4 linked regions of the Drosophila melanogaster genome follow. The protein of the gene in region 1 interacts with the protein of each later gene in a pairwise test. Each region holds a gene or a part of one and is shown on either strand. Other genes may lie near its edges. The genes, in order: SdhD, Tapdelta, CG31775 and CG17826.

What was found.
Region 2: the proteins of SdhD (region 1) and Tapdelta interact in a two-hybrid assay, tested with the Drosophila melanogaster proteins (one large-scale study listed by BioGRID).
Region 3: the proteins of SdhD (region 1) and CG31775 interact in a two-hybrid assay, tested with the Drosophila melanogaster proteins (one large-scale study listed by BioGRID).
Region 4: the proteins of SdhD (region 1) and CG17826 interact in a two-hybrid assay, tested with the Drosophila melanogaster proteins (one large-scale study listed by BioGRID).

What each region holds. Positions count from the first base shown.
Region 1 is NT_033777.3:23,758,517-23,763,369, reverse strand, and holds SdhD (succinate dehydrogenase, subunit D), read left to right. Parts: upstream 1-2,769; 5' UTR 2,770-2,875; coding exon 2,876-2,918; intron 2,919-3,009; coding exon 3,010-3,125; intron 3,126-3,197; coding exon 3,198-3,385; intron 3,386-3,446; coding exon 3,447-3,648; 3' UTR 3,649-3,883; downstream 3,884-4,853. Other genes in the region: udt (undicht), read left to right, coding at 265-313, 403-821, 940-1,751, 1,810-2,389; PTPMT1 (protein tyrosine phosphatase, mitochondrial 1), read right to left, coding at 3,884-4,012, 4,075-4,392, 4,452-4,595, 4,842-4,853. UniProt on the Drosophila melanogaster protein: Membrane-anchoring subunit of succinate dehydrogenase (SDH) that is involved in complex II of the mitochondrial electron transport chain and is responsible for transferring electrons from succinate to ubiquinone (coenzyme Q).
Region 2 is NT_033778.4:11,368,869-11,373,453, forward strand, and holds Tapdelta (Translocon-associated protein delta), read right to left. Parts: upstream 2,468-4,585; 5' UTR 2,145-2,467; coding exon 1,905-2,144; intron 1,846-1,904; coding exon 1,585-1,845; 3' UTR 1,432-1,584; downstream 1-1,431. Other genes in the region: CG13204 (uncharacterized protein), read left to right, coding at 1-1,368.
Region 3 is NT_033779.5:14,735,818-14,740,133, forward strand, and holds CG31775 (uncharacterized protein), read right to left. Parts: upstream 1,953-4,316; 5' UTR 1,914-1,952; coding exon 1,902-1,913; intron 1,835-1,901; coding exon 1,577-1,834; 3' UTR 1,273-1,576; downstream 1-1,272. Other genes in the region: CG31835 (uncharacterized protein), read left to right, coding at 134-1,183; CG42585 (uncharacterized protein), read left to right, coding at 4,205-4,316.
Region 4 is NT_037436.4:11,947,553-11,953,483, reverse strand, and holds CG17826 (uncharacterized protein), read right to left. Parts: upstream 3,646-5,931; 5' UTR 3,612-3,645; coding exon 3,584-3,611; intron 3,526-3,583; coding exon 1,298-3,525; 3' UTR 1,259-1,297; downstream 1-1,258. Other genes in the region: obst-G (obstructor-G), read left to right, coding at 191-256, 312-1,085; CG7252 (uncharacterized protein), read right to left, coding at 4,278-5,680, 5,741-5,762.

The sequences.
Region 1 (4,853 bases):
AAATAATATTAATCTCTATTTTTAAGTTCAAAAAGTAACGCTCAATTTGATAAAGAGTGGATTAATAGCTATCAGCCAGTGCTGTGCAGCTAGCTCTTCGTTAAAGCCAGTGTTAGTAAGGTCGCCTTTGCCCATCATTGGTAATTTGTGTTTGTTGCGTGTTTTGCTATTGTTTCTGACTAAAACCGCCTTTGGTTGCTTCCATTTGAAAGTAAATTGTAATAAATATGTTTAGTTGTTAGTTCTGAGGACACCAAACACGCAATGCATTATTACCTGGCTGCTATCTGCCTGGTGGGCTTAATGGGCTCAGGTCAGTGATTCGATTCCCAAGCCACACCCAAGGCTCCAAGTGAATCATGTGAATTGGCCACCCGAAACTAAAGCCCATCCATTTTACAGCCCTCGGTCAGTACAACCTGGTGCAGAAGGACAACTGCATCATTCCAAAGATCCTGCAGGGATCGTGGTTCTCGTGGGAAACGGGCCTGCCCACGCTGACGGTGATCGACGCCACCTCGATGTCCAGCCGAGGCTACTGCATCAACTACATGCGCCACAAGGGCGACGAGTACTCATTTGTCTTCAAGGAGCGATCCAAGGACTGCTATCACTGTGTCAGGACCATCATCCGCACCCTTAATGTGTTCGAAAAGTTTGAGGGGCCCTGCGTGGGCATACCCGCTGGACAGGAACCCACCGTGGACTATGTGTGTCGTGGTGTTAAGGATGACCAGCAGTTGATAACGCTCTTTAACGAGAACTTTGTGCCCATCAACTGCCGATCGTCGCTGGAGGGAGTGTGGCATTTTACGTACCAGGTAAGATCAAAATAGATTCATAGATCACATAATTTGCACATGGTGCGGTTTAGTTAAGGGTCTAGAAACATATCCATTTTATGTTGATTAGTGATCTTGATTTGAACTTTTATTATAGAACCGATTCCGATTCACGGGCGTATGCGATAAGCCCGACGCTCGCATTCAGTCCTGTCAAACGGCAGGAACGCAGTTCCTCATCCAGAACCAGAAGTTCAACGTCACCTATCAGCAGTGCGAGGGTATGGAGGGCACATTCACCGGCACCGTGGAGTTCAGCTGCCTGGGCGATTGGTTTGTGGGCAAGAACCACTACTTTGCCGTGGCCAACACAAAGGAGTCGCGTAAGGATGAGAAGTACCGCTGCTTCCTTAAGAATCGTGACGATGATCTTTACGTGGGCGTTTCCATTACGGCCGAATGTAACACACTGAAGACGCCAGAAACGTCACCGGAGCGTCTAAAGCTGACGCCAGTGAAGGCTGAGTTTGTGGAACCCGGTTGCACGCTACCACAAAACTTTAGCGGAGAATGGGTGAACACTGCCAACATTGATGCCGATGTCTCGATCAGTGAGACCCACATAAACGAGACGTACTATCCGGATAAAGCTCGATACCGAAAGACAATCTATGTTTGCCGAGAGCGACGGGGTAATCGTGTGATGATGGCTCGCCTCACTGTCGACGGTTGCCAGAAGGATTACGTGTGCTTTGACTTTATGCCCCGCCACCACAACATCATTCGCTACCGCAAGGGTTTGGCTGTGATCAAGGACGATTTTAGTACAGTCTGCTCTTGGGTTCAGTTCCCCAATTCGGAGGCATGGAAATATGATCTGTTTCTTGCTCGAAATCCTGTGCCTGTTCGTTGCCCCGTTGCGGGAAAATTCAACTTTACGCAGCGAGGAGAGCATCCCTTCAGAACGAGGTTTGTAATGTTTTGCAATCGTAGCATGAAACGTATAATTAATGTGTATATTTCACAGAATTCTTGGTGGTGTCACTCTGAGTCCGCGTCCCGATATCCATTGCAAGCAAAACATCTCGGATTTATCGGTTTGCGATACAGATCAAAAGGAATTGGCGGTGGATGAAAACTATTGCCTGTCGGTGGATCACTTGGGTCGTCCCGTTGATATCTACAGTGATCCCGATTACCGCATGAAGTGCATTGGCTTCTGGAAGGAGAACCTCAAGTCCTACCTGATTACGTACGACGATTTGGATCCGCTGTCCAAGTATCGCTGCTGGGTCTATCAGCGTGCCGACCTCAACCGTGTCCTCATGTCGCAGGCTGTGGGCGCATTCTGCAAACTGGAGCAAGATGTGACCTCGTGGAACCACTCGGAGGGCGCTGCCGTAGCCATCGATGCCGTGGAGTACGAAAGGGAGCGTGACGACTGTCCCATGCACTTCGATGACGGATTGAATCCTTGGAAGCCGTCGGATGCCTCCAACATCATATTTGATTGGGACTTTTACCGAGCAGGAGCAGCGACACTAAAATTTCAACTGACTGGCCTCGTTATCGTGGTCTTAGTCCAGGTTAGGAGTTTATTAGCTTAATAATATCAAAAGTATTTTTTAACTATTCCATCCAACGAAATTTACAAAAATTTTACAACCAACATAAAGTCACTTTTAGGAGCAATTGCGTGCCTTAGAATGCGAATTTTAGAAAGTTTTAAGCAAATTTTAAACTTAGTTTGTAAGATCATCACAATTTTTACGTGTAACAGCCATTCCGTCCCAAACGAATCTCAAATGTATTGTGCAAATAATTAAAGCAGTTAAATAAATGCCTTGAACTAAATGTTTTCTTATTATTTATTACACCCTTTAATTGTTTGTTGAGTTCAAAATATTTTACTGGGCTTCCCTTATTATTGTGGGACAATATCTTGACCGCTACTGTTTACCGATAACAAATCGATGACAGCTGACTGCACTAGCCCAGTGCTGTGTAATTTTTTAGACAAATCGGCCCAAACCGAACGGAGCGATAGAGTTTTTATTTTGAGCTGAAAATTCTCAATATTTACACATCCCAACATGTCCCTCTCGTTGCTTCTGCGTGGCGCTGTCCGTTGCAATGGTAAGGACCCACTGGATGGCAAATCGCCTTGTTATTGGACGCAAAACAGCTTTCATTATATAACCAAACCGTTTGTTGGTATCCCAATTAGCCGCAAATCTTGTTAAGTCGGCTCGCATCACTCCCCTGAAGAGCTACTCCACCCTGGTGGCCAATGTCCAGCGGAAGGCGGTGGTCCAGCCCCTGGCCGTGGCCAAGATTGTAGCGGTAAGTGTTTAGAGTTGAAAAATTCAGTGGTGGCTAATCATACTAAATGGTAATCCTCGACTGCTTATGCAGCCCGTCGTGCGCGAGATCTCCGTGAGTGCGCCCCGCATGGCTTCCGCTGGATCCAGCCACACCCTGCTCTGGACTGTGGAGCGAATTGTGTCCGCCGGCCTACTGGCCGTCATTCCAGCTGCCTTCATAGCTCCATCCCAGGTATTGGACGCCCTCATGGCCATCTCTGTCGTCATCCACACCCATTGGTAAGATATCCTTGAGGAAAATTAAACCTTTACTTATATTTTCCTCATTCACCAAACGCAGGGGCGTGGAGGCCATGGTAGTTGACTACATGCGGCCATCTGTCGTTGGAAACGTCCTGCCCAAGGTAGCCCACATTGCGCTGATCATCATCTCGGTGGCCACGCTGGGCGGCCTCTTCTACTTCATCCAAAATGATGTGGGTCTGGCCAATGGTATCAAGCGCTTCTGGGCCATCAAGGGCAAGGATGCCGAGAAGGCTTAAATGTCAAAGGAGCAATCAGTTGATGAACCACGAAACACCAGTTATTTATTCATAGTTTCGCGATAAGCATTAAATAAAGAATTGTAAAAAGTCACAGCTGCACAGAGCGGGTTTTGTAGAAAATTGTATATTCAACAAGAAAATCAGCACTAAAGTAGTTGGGTAACAGGCACCACCTTTGTTACGTATGGTAATCTACTGTAAACAATAAATTTGGGCTATTGTCCAGGTTTGGTCATGATTTCGTCTCCACATTGTTTGTGTAGAATAACCGGAGGGCATCCCATTGTTTGGTGTGCAGCAGAATGTGCGGTCGGCACTTACGCATGTGGTCAACCGCCTGATCCGGAGTCCATCCGTTCTTCTGCAAAGGATAAGTTGTGAGCTTTTTTTTAAGAGCTACGTGCAAATAGATAACCAACCCACCATCATGAGGTAGCATCCCACCAAAGTGGCACTTCGCGTCCTACCAGCCTTGCAGTGCACATAGACAGAACCCACGTTCTCCGGCTGGTAGGAGGAACTTAGGCCACCAATTCTTTGCTTTAGAGGCAGGAACTTGTTTATGAATTCCACGCCGCGGAAGAGCTTTTCTTGATTGGGCGACTCAAAGATGTCGGTGGTGGCCAGCTGCAGGAACTCAATGCCAAGCTTTCGCCACTTCTCCGTGTTGTTGGAGAAGGCGGTCAGCTCATAGTCCTCGTTCATCGACACCACCGCCTTCATGTTCTCCTTTTCAATGAGCTGAGCGGTTAAACAAGGATTTAGAAGGATTTCAGGCTTGGTTCCGTGGGGATACTTACGTCATTGGCCTGGCTGCGAAAGGGCAGTGCTCCCAGTATCACATGCTCATCGATGCGATCGTACCAATTCCTGGCCGATGCCTTTTCCATCAGGACATTGTACAGCAGGGTGGGGTAGAAGGAAACGCGTGCGAACATGGCAGCCTGAAATAACAGGTGTCGACTGGAGGATTAGGAATCGGGGCACAGGTGGCGGTTACTAGGTAGCGAACGTAGCGAACGCAACAGCTGTAACTTTCACCAGCACTAACGGCTGAGCTCGAAGAGTGATTCGCTGTGCGACTCACTCGGTTGAAGCGCGGGTTGGAACTGGTTTCGGTTTTCAATTTGGTTTTGGGCTGTGACTTTTGGGTCTGGGTGTCTGGCACGCAGGTCGCAGCTTCTACTTACACTCATCTCCAT
Region 2 (4,585 bases), on another chromosome or scaffold:
ATAACCATTGCCACTGCATCGGCTGGTTGCTCATCCATGGGGACGCACACGGTTAATACCTATACTACCGCTTTAAGCAGTACTTCGGCGTCCGGCATAACATCAAGTTTGGGCGCGACCACGCCCCCGAATATGATCTCTCCAGGCAGCAATTTGGGCGGAACAGGAGGAGGTTCTGGGTCCGTGGGACCGCAAATCCACAACAGCAATAGCAACGGCAGTGCAACCGGAAGTCTAAACTGTGCTGCAGTGGCACCGCTCAGTTCGATGACTCCACCTGCCACCAGTGGCAGTAATTCCGCCGTAGTCTTGCCCCTGCCCATCTCACCCGCATCCTCAGTCGCTGCCGCAGCTGCTGCTGTCAGCAAGGCCAATGCAAATGCCCTGGCCTCTCTGGCTAACCATCTGCCCATGGGCTTGGGCGTGAGCGGACTGGCCCAGCAGATGTTCCCGCTAGCCACGCTCAAGGCGGCGGCAGTGGCTGCTGGTCTTCCCCTGCCACCTACGATCACGCCGCCTGGTTGCAGCACCGGCAGCGCAACCAACAGCAATGTCGGTTGTCTGATCATCGAGCCGCATCTCTTTGCGGCGGCGGACAACTTCAAGAAGGAACTGACAGCGGCTGCGGCAGCTGGAGCACCTTTGGGATTGTTCCAGAACCTGGCCAACCAAGTGCAGAACGCCAATCGTTTGAACGGCAGCTGCCCGAGCTTACCCATGGGTAATCCCACTCCTCCGCCGCCGCCGCCAGCGCCACCAGCCTCCAAGGTGCGAAGGGTACAACCTTCGCCGCAAACCACGGCCATCAACCTAAGTTGCTCCGGAGGGAATTCCGTACAAACGCAGCAGCAGCAGTCAATGCAAATGCCACAAATTCAACAGCAACAACAGCCGTCGCCCGCCAAAACGCGTAAGATTTGCGATCCGCGTTTTCCGAGCGATTGGGACGTCTCTGCCGTGCTACAGGCCAACAGAGAACTTGACGCAAACACTCTTTTCTTCTTGAGTCTGGCGCGGCAGGTGCGAGCTATGCCCATGAAATTCCAGTCGCTCGCCAAGATGCGTTGCATGCGAATCGTCAGTGATTTGGAGCTAGAGCTGGAGAACTTTGATTGCAACGGTGGAGCGCCACCGCCGGATGATTCAGGCGGAGGAGGAGCTGGGAATCTCAAGTACTGCAGCATAGATACTCCGCCACCGCCGCCGCAGGACGGCTCCGTGGTCATACCCCCGCCGCCAGTCGGCCCCGAGGGCTCCACGGAGCACTTTGTGTATGTGATGTCGCCGTCGCGTGTGGAGAGCATGATAGACATCTCCTCCGACGAGGAGGCGACCATGAATGGAGCGCCCTCCACGGGCCAGGTTTAAGCGTATTCGTACAAGTTATCTCTAAATTAAAATTAAATTAATCTCAACTAGGTTCCTTCGGTTGGTCTTTCAATCAGTTTATTTTGGAGCGGCGGGTGATCCGATGCTTAGGTGTACAAAATGTGGAAAAATCTCCGGGACCCGGCAATTTGATGGTACATGACTTTAGTGCGAATGAATTTCATTCAAAATCTCGATGACGAAGGCATCCTCTACTTAGGACTGCACCTTGCCCTTGGTGGTGAAGGCGAAGTATGCGAATCCGCCGACCAAGAAGGCGGCCAAAAGCTCAGCCTTGATCCAGGGACCCTTGTAGGCACCCTTGGTGGGCACGGAAATGTCGAGCAGCGACTTCACCGATGAAACCTTGTCGCCATCCCGCTGGGCCTTGCGCACATTGGCATAGCCATCCTCGTCGAAGAGACGCACCTGAACATTGCCGCTGCTGCCCTGCTTGATATCCTCCACCCAGCTCACCTAGTGCAGAACAGAGATTAGCCTTTGCACAAAACTTGACGGGGCTACTACTGGCTCACCTGGTACTTGTTGTCGCCCACCTTGGCCACCGGCACCACCTTGCCGCAGGGGAACTCGGCGAACAGGCTGGCGGGAGCGGCTCCGCTGCACTGCAGCGTGAACTCGCCCACATGGGCCAGCTGGGTCAGAATCGTGGCATCCTGGGTGCTGAAAGAGCTCACGGTGGCCTTGCAGCTACCGTAGACGCCGGACGCACAAACGGCGGCAATCAGGCAAATGGCGAACAGTTGACGGGACATCTTGATCAAGTTATGAGGTGGTTTTTATTTAGTAATCAATGGAATAGGCGGAACTCTACGGCTATCCAACTCGGCGACCTGCGACTTTCTTTCTCTCTGGAAGCGAACGCCACGACAGCACCATACATACGTCACGTCACTTGACAGCTACGAAAATTGCCGAAGTCGTACCAGTTCGATGGTCACACTGGTCGTGACCAGGGATGGCAACGCTCAGTCGAGAATAGCTACAAAATAGCTAGTAGCCCGTGGTAAATTTTTCCGATTTTTTACTTGTTATATCTAAAAATACAGTTTTAGAAAGCGGTTTTTTGTAGTTTCCTAATGACATCTATATGTTAAGATTTCTCCGGGAATGTTTGTCGTTCGAATATGATAGCAATTAGTACGTATACGTAAATGTTATAAAATTCATATAAAATTTGTATATACAAGTATTAAAAATAAGTGCGTATACATAAAAAATATAAAAATATGGGATTCATTTTATTTGGAATAAAGTTATTACTAATGATGTCAGTCCTGTCAAAATAAATCTTTCCTAATTATAGGGGCATTGAGATATGTAGACTTAATTTCCTCCCATATCAATTCAATTTCTAGCGATTTCAATTTCAAATATATAATTTGAAAATATCGAATTTTAAATAAAAAACAATTATATTAAAGTTAAATATTAATAAATTAAATTAAATTTATAAATAAAAATATAATGACAAATAGAATTCTTCACCAACAGGTTAAATTTTTGTAGTCTTACTTTGATTAAAAGACTAAAATTCTTATTAAATTATATTTATACAAAATTGTAATGTTTTAAGGAAAAATTGCTCAGCTATGATCGAGTACCGAATGCAATCCATCACTTTGGAGGATTCTGCTTTAGATCGCTATTGCGCTGATATTAAAAACATCAAAGTGAACTTTGATCAAATTGGTGGCTTAATTTGTACTTAGGCAAATACCCAAAGTTCCTTGTCTAAAACGTCTTTGAGGGGATTCCTTTTGCAATACATTTACGTTGGGCTGACTTCATTTAAAATATGTATGTAAGTATCTATTTAATTTAAAGTCAATAGATAAAGTCCAGGCCGTTCCAGTCACAGTAATTTCGTACCGACTGCATTTCTAATTAAAATAAGTTTTCGTCTGACAGTTTTGCTATGGTACCGTTCTGTGATCGGTTACGACTAAGTCCAATATTTATGGCACTTCGATTGCAATTGATTTCGAATTGCAGCAGTGTCAGAGGAAACGGGAGTCCTGTCCAATCGTTGGGGGAGTCTTCAAAGTCGGGCCATAAGCACCGAGTATTGACTGGTGGCAGTGATTAATGCCCATCCAACTGGAATGGGGCTTTCAGCTTTGTTTTAAGTACATTTTATTGGCAATCGGAAAATCGGATACTATCGTATAAATACTTTGGCTAACAGGCATACGAATGTATGCGGATGTGACCTTGAAGTGGGCCTGATTTGGTTTTGCTTTTTTTGTTTACGGTTTTATGCCATTTTGTGTTTGTGTTTGCCGCCACCGTTCGAATCGGCTCCATTTTGCTATGTTCGTTACTTTCCTTTGATTGCCACCGCGCACGGAACTTTTCCACCGAACTTTGCATGTCTTTGATGAATTTGAAATTGTCACAAATGTGAAAGTTTTTCACTTGCCATCCCATCCGGTTGCCCATCCGCAGATACAGATACTCATACTCATACTAATACCGGCAACAACTGAATTTGCATCTAACATTTTGCTGACATTGAGCGACTTGTACGCATTTCTCCTTCCTCCTCCTCCCCTCTTCTCACCACTCTGCCAGCCTTTTTCCTGCTTCTTTTTTTTGGCTACTATTCATTCATTCATGGCCGGATTTGCATATTTGCCAAAAATGCCGTAATCCTTTCGATTAAGAGGCGTTCGGTGGGTGATTCGCAAATGAAAACAAAAGTTCGTGCGGGTTCATTGAGTCGCAGTCGAAAACTTGCCAGACCCACCGGAATTGCACGTGTCTTTGGGGGAGGAGTGGGTTGATCCGGGGTTGGCAGGTGGATCGACGGATGCATTGGGCAAAATAAAGTGCACTCTGACCGGAAACGAAATTGGTACTTAGATTGCAAACATAGAAGCAGGCGCGATTGTGTATAAGCCAAATTTTGGCGTTCTATATTCTACAATATTTTAATTTTGGGAGTTTTTCAACAACTCGCAAAAATAAATATTACAATAAACCTAAGTTTTTAAAAGTTTTTCATATAAAAAACGAACCAATTATTAACAGGATACATTTACTAATCGAGTATAATAGCTCATTTGTAAGGGACATTACCTTTTTTAATTTTTCCTAGATCACTCCAATTTCTTTCAGTGTGCTTCGGTGGATGGTTGTCTGACGTGTGGGTGTGAGCAGGAAATGGAACAAAGAACCGAACTGTAAGGAGAGC
Region 3 (4,316 bases), on another chromosome or scaffold:
GAAATATTTTACATCTATGAAAATCATGTCATTGTATAGATTCGATTTGTTAAAATTTAGAACCCTTTTGCCCGTTTTTTCGACCAGAGTTTAGGTATATTCGCTAAGAACGAAGTTAGCACAAGGATCGAGGATGGGTCACCGCAACATTTGCTGCAACGGCTGTCAAATGACGATCTTCCAGGGTAGCCGCTTCCGGTGTTTGCGCTGCGTGAACTATAACCTATGTGACATATGCTACGATCATCAGATAGAAACGGAAGAGCATCGCGCCAATCATCCCATGCAATTGTTCCCTGACTCGGACGATCTGGTTCCGCTGCTTTACGGCGAAATCCCAGAGCTGGTCCACCTGTCCAATTGCTTCACCTGTCCACATTGCGGCCTACTTGCGCTCACAGCGAAGCGGTTCATCGAACATGTTTACGTTCAACATCGGGTGTCCAATGAATATGTGGTCTGCCCCATGTGCGCCGGACTGTCGGCCGCCGAACTGGTGGCCATACGCCACCTTTCCAAACATCTCCTGCACAACCACATCGATCACGCCAATTACCTAGAGCCCGACACACCGCCACTACGCCGAATATTTACCCGTAATCACATGCGCCACCACCGCCAATCGCAGTTGCAAACAACTCCGAATTCAAGGATATTCGATATATCCGTATGGCTGTCAACTGGACGTGTGAGCTCCGATCCCCAGCTCCTAAGCAACAATGATCCTCCAGAGGAGGCAGCCAATTCAGAGTCCCTGGCGTTAGGCTTGAGTTCCGGGGGGCCATTCGAACACGACGACGACAGATATGTTCTACTTCAGTGGATTGCACAGCAAAAAGTGCAGTGCCACGATACGGACGAATCTCAAAGGCTGCGGCGAACCCTCTTCGTTGAGCACTTGCTGATTTCCATGCTGTGCTGCGAGGAGTTGCAGTTGCCGGATGGAGACAGACGAATACGGGAAGGAAATGGGGAGAGTGATCTAGACCAGGAAAACCATAGCAGTCTGGTCAAGGTCATGTCAGTGATGTCACTGCCGTGGACAGGAGTTTGGCAGACCAACCAGCTAGACGGATCGGAGGGGGAAGGCGAGATACGGGCAGCCAAAAAAGATGGAGTCGATCTGGACAAGGTGCAGATCGAGGAGCACAAAAGGGTGGCTGCTGAGGAGGCCATTGATTAGGATACTCGAAATTGTATCTGTTTTTTCAATCATGTTGAATCCGCTTTTTAGTTGCGTTACATATTTCAAAGAAAAACAAAATTTTTGTGAAAATTTGGCTTATATTTATAATATGGCTTTTATATTTTGGCTTTTATTTATATTTACAATGTTTTAAGTAAAACCATTTGAACATCTGAAAGAGAAGATATTTCCCGTTGTCCCTTATGTTAAGTGTATTTATTTCTGGGCACTATTTAATAAATATAAATGAATAATAAATATAAATTTATTTTCATAAAACTCATAAATTTTCGAGAACGATAAAGTAAAAAATTCCAATTGTTTTTTTATCATAAAGGTGTCATATTTTTATTGAGGTATCTGCGTTAAGACGGTGCTATGAATTGGTTTTTACCAGCCTTGTTGCTGTTGCTGCTGCTGATCACCGAATCCACCTCCGAATCCACCTCCAAATCCTCCTTGCTGCTGCTGCTGCTGATCACCGAATCCACCTCCGAATCCACCGCCAAATCCTCCTTGCTGCTGCTGCTGATCACCAAATCCACCTCCAAATCCTCCTTGCTGCTGCTGCTGCTGATCACCGAATCCACCGCCGAATCCAAACTGAGGTAGGGCAGCGGCCGCGGCGAATAGGGCAATGAAGAGGATCTGTAACAATATTAAAATCAACTTAGTTCTTAAAGGTTTTTCTTTGAAGCGTATATGTAAAACGTACCAAAAACTTCATGGTGCTGATACTTCGGTTAGTCTTGCTAATGTGAATAAAATTTTTGGACGCCTCCGATCTTTTATACTCTCCTGCAATCTCATCATGTCGTCACGCGCCGAAGTATTATCAATGTTCTGACAAAATCAAGTACAATTAACCCAACAAAAATACGAAAAAAATTTCCAGACGTCTGGGAAATTAATATTTGAGCACTGTATCAATGCCTATGCTCAACGGGGGGAACCCTTCAACATCAATCTTATCTGGGAAGTCGAGCCTAATCTAATAAGTCCGCAACAGTTGCTAAGAAAAACTAAGGGCGACTTAGAAGAAGACGTTGTTTGAGATTACTTTAGATCATTTATGTTCCGTTTTCACGCATCACAAACGTGTTACGGCAACAAATGTTCTTGTTTGCTTTTCTGGGTTATCATTAGACTTTCGAAATGAGGAGGGATAATTAAGTATGAAATCCTTGTAATCATGGATTAATTTTTTATACATACGTATAATTATGTTATGTCTTTGAATTTTAGCGCTTAACAGGTTAGACCACTATAGTCGCATTCCTCGATTATCAGATACCCATTTCTTAGCTAATAGAAGAACTAAGATATTTACAAGACAAGACTAGATGAAATCAATGAAGAATCTAGAGTGTTGTTGGCACAGGTTCTGAAAGAATTGGAACTATTTAGAGGTCTGAATCTCATTCAGTTCATACAGACAGGCTTACAGACAGATGGCCAAACGAATACGGCTAGATAGACTCCGCTGGTGATGCTGGTGAAGAATATATATATTCTGTATAGGTAAAGGTTCGGCAACGCCTTCTTCGAACTCCCACAGACTTTTTAAAGAATTTGGTATACTCAATTACTCCACAAGTACCGTCTATAAAAACATAGAAATTATGTGTCTTAAAAAATTGTATTTATTAAACTAATAAGACTAGTTTATTTCTTTACATCCTTTTTTTTAAAGAAATATTATTTGTATTTTTTTTCGCTGTGTTTGGTTACATTCAAAAACATTTAAAATTTTCCAAACCAATTGTACTTTTTTTGAGAGCAAATTCAGCCTAAAAGAATACTGTTAAGCTTGTGAATTTAAATGCAGCGCTAAAAAGTCTTCGCCGTTTCTTATACTTTTTTTTTAGTGGCAATTGAAAAGCTTTTAATCGGTATATAGCTAATCAGCTCCAAAATAAGCAAAACAAATTAACAAGAAGAAAGATCAGGCTAAAGGTCCTCAACCCCTGATCAGAAATCAGCTCTGTTAATGCAGTGCTAGAATTTTGCTACCTCATCGCAGACGCTTAATCTAATAATCACAGCTTGGGGTATATAGATTTCGATAGGAAATAATAAGCAAAAAATAAGAAAATTTTGTTTTTATTACTTTGTTTTGGTGCAAATCGCTCCATTCGGCTTCCACCTGCTATATGTTTATTAAACATCTTATTTTTAAGAGTGTACTGAATCCACCACAATGGTCGCCGAAAGGGGGTGGTGCAAGGGCGGAGGTGCATGAAGCCGGAAAACTTCTATTACAACTGCCGCGCACCAAGTCGGGAAAATTAAAAAGAAGAGAGCGAGATGGAGATTCAAACCGAGACAGAGACAGAAGAGTAACTAATGGCACAACAGCCACATTTAGAACCGATGTGTTCAACGCAATACCTACTAAAATAGCAATTTTTGTGGATTTTTTGGGTTTTGAATTTTATGTGTACACACACTGAAGCTGTATTACATTTGGACATATGTATAATTATAAATTCAAGCTAAATTTTCAGCTCAAGGGAAGTTTAATTTTCGATAACTGCATTCTGATTTGAGCAAATATAAAATATCCTTTGAGTTATCTTCTACTGTCAAAAGATTTAGATAAAAGATTTAGTTCCTTATCAATAATGGGGGCTTATTTCTCGTTTCATATAGGTTTGGAAAACAAATTGCATTATCGTTATTTGTCACGTAGATAGCTGTGCTCACCGGACAAAATAGTACAGTGCATGTTTATTTAACTTTTTTTTCGCTGTACTTAAGGTTCCAAAAATAAACATTTGTTTAAAAGAGGCAAAGGAAATATGTAGAAAGCTTGAGTAAGTTTGATACATTTAGGTTGAAAAATAGTTTTAAAAGTAGAATTATATGTTATTACCAAACGCCCCGAAATATTTTACATCTATGAAAATCATGTCATTGTATAGATTCGATTTGTTAAAATTTAGAACCCTTTTGCCCGTTTTTTCGACCAGAGTTTAGGTATATTCGCTAAGAACGAAGTTAGCACAAGGATCGAGGATGGGTCACCGCAACATTTGCTGCAACGGCTGTCAAATGACGATCTTCCAGGGTAGCCGCTTCCGGTGTTTGCGCTGCGTGAACTATAACCTATGTGACATATGCTACGATC
Region 4 (5,931 bases), on another chromosome or scaffold:
CAATTCTGAGTAAGAAAATAAAGATAGTACTCATATTCGAGTAACTCTATCATATGAACAGTACAATCAGATTCTAGCATTTAACATACTAGCAAATCATGCAAATTACTTATAAATGCTACTCTATAAAAACGCAGTTCAATGAATGGAAAGTTTCAGTTCGATAAAACACTCGATAGCATCACACAAAATGAAGCTATTTGGACTGCTCTGCGTAATGTTAGTACTTCAAGAAAGTACTCTGGCTGTTGTACAAGTATGTTGGAAAACATTCTTAAAAGTATGAAAAATTAGAATGTTCACTTTCACAGAACGGATTTGCGTTCAAGACGTCCTTATGCGAGGGTAAAAATGGTGGACTCTTGCCCATGTTTGGATCCTGTAAAGGATATTACGTGTGTGCTGATGGAAACGCTGTGACCGGAACTTGTGAAAAGAATACGTTGTTTAATCCTTTAACGTTGCACTGCGATGATCCTGACAATGTGGATTGCATTTTCGATGGCAAGGATAATATTGTTGACGACACGTCAAGTTCTGAAAGCGACGAAGACGATGATGAGGAAATGGCCAAAACTGATCCTCCCGTTACTGTCAAAGCGACGAAAAAGCCGCGTCCTACAACCCTTGACAAAATGTGTGCTGGCAAGAAGGATGGAGTGATGCTTACAAAGAACGGGTCCTGCCAGGAATATTATGTCTGCAAAGCAAAAAAGCCCCATCTGCGCTCTTGTCCTGACAAACAACATTTTAGTCCAACTCGTCGCATTTGCATGAAGGCCTCAGAAGCCAAGTGTTCGGGTGGAACCCGAGAAAATAAAGAATCAGATGGTCCTGCCACCACGGGAGGAGTGTGTTCAGATGAAAAGGAAAACTCTCTTGTTGCTCATCGCAGCGATTGTGGCAAGTTTATGCTCTGCAGCAACATGATGTTTTTGGTAATGGACTGCCCAACTGGCCTGCATTTCAATATAGCCACATCACGATGCGATTATCCCAAAATTGCAAAATGCCAGACGAAGCTAAATGAAAGCAAATCCAAGTCAAAGAAACCTGTGCGCAAGTCAAAAAAACGTCGATTCTAACTATATTTTTTTAAGACCCCAATAAAGTGCTTGAATTATAATAATTTTTAATAGTCCAAAGCCTAAACAGAGAAAATATAGCCACATCATATAGTACTAAAAATAAGGGGAATATTTTCTATTCTCTGCTTAGAATAAGTAGTTTTTATCTATAGAAAAACGAAAATCTTTTCGTTTAATACTCTGCTTTAAATATTGTTTATTGAAACCACTTAGCACTTAACATTATCGGGCCAATCGCAGGATTTGACCTGCAAATTGAACAAAAGTCCAGAGGAACAAGTGAAGTTCACCTCACACTCGCACTGGCAGACTACATAATTAGAACTACAATCTCCGCTGGCATCGGCGAACATGGTACCATCCCGCTGGCCAACGCATCGTCCGTGGCTCTCGCAATAAGTTCCCGAGGGTCCGGCAATCGGACCACTTGGCGGTGCAGATCCATCGTCGCATTGAACATTTTCGGGATAATCGCACTGCTCTATTATTGAATTGTATTGCAGGTTGTTGGAGCACCGCTGCTCATATTTGTTACCATTTACGCACTGGTAGAAGGCGGAGCAATTTTTCTCCACGGGCCAGATGGAATTGTTGGGCACATCGCAGCAGTCGGGATCGCAGGTTTTGGGAATGCACACATTCTCTGTGTCGACCTCGCATTCCTTCAGTGTGGTATTGAAGAACTGCGTAGCGGAGCACTTCCTGGCCACAAAGACTCCGTTTATGCACTGTAGGTATCCGGCGCAGTCCGCAGGATTCACCTTAACCTCATTCTCAGTGCATGTCGTTCCATTTCCGTTGCACTGACCATTATCCACATCGCAGACCTCTGACTGGCTGTTCCAGTAGTAACCACTGTCGCAGGACTTGGTCACATACTTGCCACCGGAACAGATCTCATACATGGTACAGTCGGCCAAGGGTTTTGTAGATCCCTCTTTACAATTGACACATATTCCCTCGTCGTCTTGTACACAAGTCTCCAGTGTGGCATTGAAGTAAGCTCCGTCGGCGCACTGCTTGCTCACCCAGTTACCGTTCGAGCAAGCCAAGTAGCCTGCGCAATTGGTGGGGTCCACCTTAAGTTCGCCATCAGTGCATGTCGTTCCATTTCCATTGCACTGACCATTATCCACATCGCAGACCTCTGATTGGCTGTTCCAGTAGTAACCACTGTCGCAGGACTTGGTCACATACTTGCCACCGGAACAGATCTCATACATGGTACAGTCGGCCAAGGGTTTTGTAGATCCCTCTTTACAATTGACACATATTCCCTCGTCGTCTTGTACACAAGTCTCCAGTGTGGCATTGAAGTAAGCTCCGTCGGCGCACTGCTTGCTCACCCAGTTACCGTTCGAGCAAGCCAAGTAGCCTGCGCAATTGGTGGGGTCCACCTTAAGTTCGCCATCAGTGCATGTCGTTCCATTTCCATTGCACTGACCATTATCCACATCGCAGACCTCTGATTGGCTGTTCCAGTAGTAACCACTGTCGCAGGACTTGGTCACATACTTGCCACCGGAACAGATCTCATACATGGTACAGTCGGCCAAGGGTTTTGTAGATCCCTCTTTACAATTGACACATATTCCCTCGTCGTCTTGTACACAAGTCTCCAGAGTGACATTGAAGTAAGCTCCGTCGGCGCACTGCTTGCTCACCCAGTTACCGTTCGAGCAAGCCAAGTAGCCTGCGCAATTGGTGGGGTCCACCTTAAGTTCGCCATCAGTGCATGTCGTTCCATTTCCATTGCACTGACCATTATCCACATCGCAGACCTCTGATTGGCTGTTCCAGTAGTAACCACTGTCGCAGGACTTGGTCACATACTTGCCACCGGAACAGATCTCATACATGGTACAGTCGGCCAAGGGTTTTGTAGATCCCTCTTTACAATTGACGCATATTCCCTCGTCGTCTTGTACACAAGTCTCCAGTATGGCATTGAAGTAAGCTCCGTCAGCGCACTGCTTGCTCACCCAGTTACCGTTCGAGCAAGCCAAGTAGCCTGCGCAATTGGTGGGGTCCACCTTAAGTTCGCCATCAGTGCATGTCGTTCCATTTCCGTTGCACACGCCGCAGGTATCTTCAACGCACCGATTTAGGGTCGAATTGAAGTAATCGCCATCTGGACAGGTCAGGATCACTATGATTCCGTCCACGCACTCTAAATAGCCGGCACAGTCATCTGGATTCGGTGTAATTTCTCCATCCACACAGGTTGGAGGTCTGCATTGACCATCATCCACGACACAGATATTTAACTCCGAATTCCAATAGGATCCGCTTGCACACGACTTGGATACAAATTCGCCGTGACAGCAGATCAGATACTTGGTACAATCATCCGCATCCACTTTTGTGTCGCCCTCCGAGCAGCACACAGCACTTGACGATCCCATAAAGAGGGAAATTATTAGGCACAGGGCCACTCCTGGGTAAAAACCGCGGATCAACAATCATCCTCCCAATTATCATTGCTCCGTCCTTACCATAGTGTTTAGTTCTGGATTGGGCCATCTTTGCACTCTGCGTATCGAATGCTCACTGATGAATCTTCGCTCGAAGATATCGCCTTTTATATTTACCGGCAATTAAAATAATTGAATGTCTCTTCCTGCATCAGAGCATGTGGCGGTGATAATGTCGAAACATCCGTGATACTATCAGCATATATATACAGTAGTAATACAAGCAATCGATATTGTCACTATTTATAAAACTCAGCGGTTCATTGTGAATCCGCGAAATCAAAGAGTCCAAAAGAAATTATTCTTCAGTTGCTATAAGATGCTCATATATGAGAAGTCTTAACGATCGATTGAAATTGAAATTTCAATGCGCCATAGTGCATATATGTATAAAGAAGAACAACTACTGATAGGTACTTACCTATGTGAACTAACTATTTTGAAGCTTTATATTGTGATAGCAGTGGTTGGACCAGCTACAAATTCCTACAGGAAACATACCCCTTCTTTATTAAAAAAAAAAAAATGGGTATTTATGTTCGATAAGCTCTTGCCAATCTCATTGAGTGCCGACACCTGTTGGCATATTCCCGCCACAAAACTGATTAAAATGATTTACTGATCCAATGTTTCATTAATAAATGGGCAGATTAGGCTACATCCTAGTAGTAGTAGTTGCTTTGATAATCACTTTCTTTATTTGCCAATCGGTCATTTAAAGAGTGCAGGTCACTTGGTTCTTATAATTGCAGGTCTGCAAGCTTTCGTCCCAATACAAGCCATCGGCGCACTCCATCTCGACCTCGCATTCACACTGGCAGACGACGTAATTGCTACAATTTGTGGTGGACTTTAAGTAGGTACCCTCACGTTGTCCCATGCAACGGCCATTACTCTCGCAGGCGATTCCCGAAGGTCCTGCATTGGGACCAGAGGGTGGGGTATACTCCCACGGGCAAACATAGTCCTGGGGGTATTCACATTCTTCGGTATTTGGGTTGTAGACCAAGTTGTTCGGACAATATTGCTCGACGGCGCAGTTGAAGTTACACTTGTAGAACATGTTGCACTTGCCTTCCACCGGAAAGAGTTCTCCCTCCGGCTGGTTTTGGCACACGGTGCTGGTGGTATTGCACTCCACCTTGGGCACATAGTTTTCAGGATAGTCGCACTGGTCTAAGGTGGCGTTGTAGACGAGGTCACCGTAACATTGAACCGCCGAGGAACCAATTGCGGATTTAGTGTCCTTAATCCAATCACACACTTGGGCCGTCTCGTTGAACTTCAGACCCTCGGAACAGGGCATCGCAATGGGGCACTGGCATTGGCAGACGAAGAATCCATTCGAATTGGGGTCCGCAATCATGTAGCCATCCCTCTTACCAGCGCATTCGCCCTGACTGGAGCAGGTGGTGCCCGATGGTCCCTCGATCTCAGTGGAGCCATCGGCGGTGGGGGTACAGTCCACATTCCACCAGTAATCGCAATCGTCTATCGCCGTGTTGAAGTACAGACCGGAGGGACACTGGAATTCCTCGGCACAACCATTGTTGCATTGGATGAACCTCACGCAGATCCCGGGCATATCTATATAGGTGCCAGTTTTCTGATTAACGCAATCCGTGCGGGAACTTTTGCAATACGAGGGCACCACACTTGGACTCGAAGGCGTGGTGTTGGAGGAGTTGTTGGGGTCATCGAAATCCGTTGTAGCATCCGTCGGCTCCGTGGAATCGGAGGGTTCCGTGGCTGAAGTGGTGGTATCCGGATCGCAGTCCTCGGTGACCGCCGTGGTAGTTTCATCGATATCGTCAATGGGATCCTGGCACTCCTCAGCACAGCAATCGCAGGTACACTGATCATCCACTTCGGCAAAGGCCGAGAGTCCCAAGCAATTAGCTCGCCACTGGAAGTCGCACTCCCTCAGCTCCCGATTGAAATGGAGTCCACGAGGGCAGCTACCGATAATGGAAACCTCTCCCTTCAGACAAACGACAAATCGGGAACAGTGGGTGGCCAACGGAAGTCTAGTGCCATCTTCCTGATTTTGGCACACATTCGTCAACTGGGCTACCACAGTTTGAAGACCTCCGATAAGCAGCAGAACGGTCCAGAGACCTAGGATACGGACCCGAAATAAGTTACTAGCCTTGGGTAGCCAACTCTTCACCAGCTTACCCCCAAAATCGATTGGTCGCATTCTTCCGAGATCACCTTTAAAGTAGTCCGAATTTCGCGAACGACTAAGTGGCAAACCAGGCCGTGTAGCACCATTTAACTGCCATGAGTGCGCCAAATCAGTAGTCAATCTTCTGATAATACCAATCACCATACGAATCTCTCGATTAATTCGGCAATGATTTGTTTTG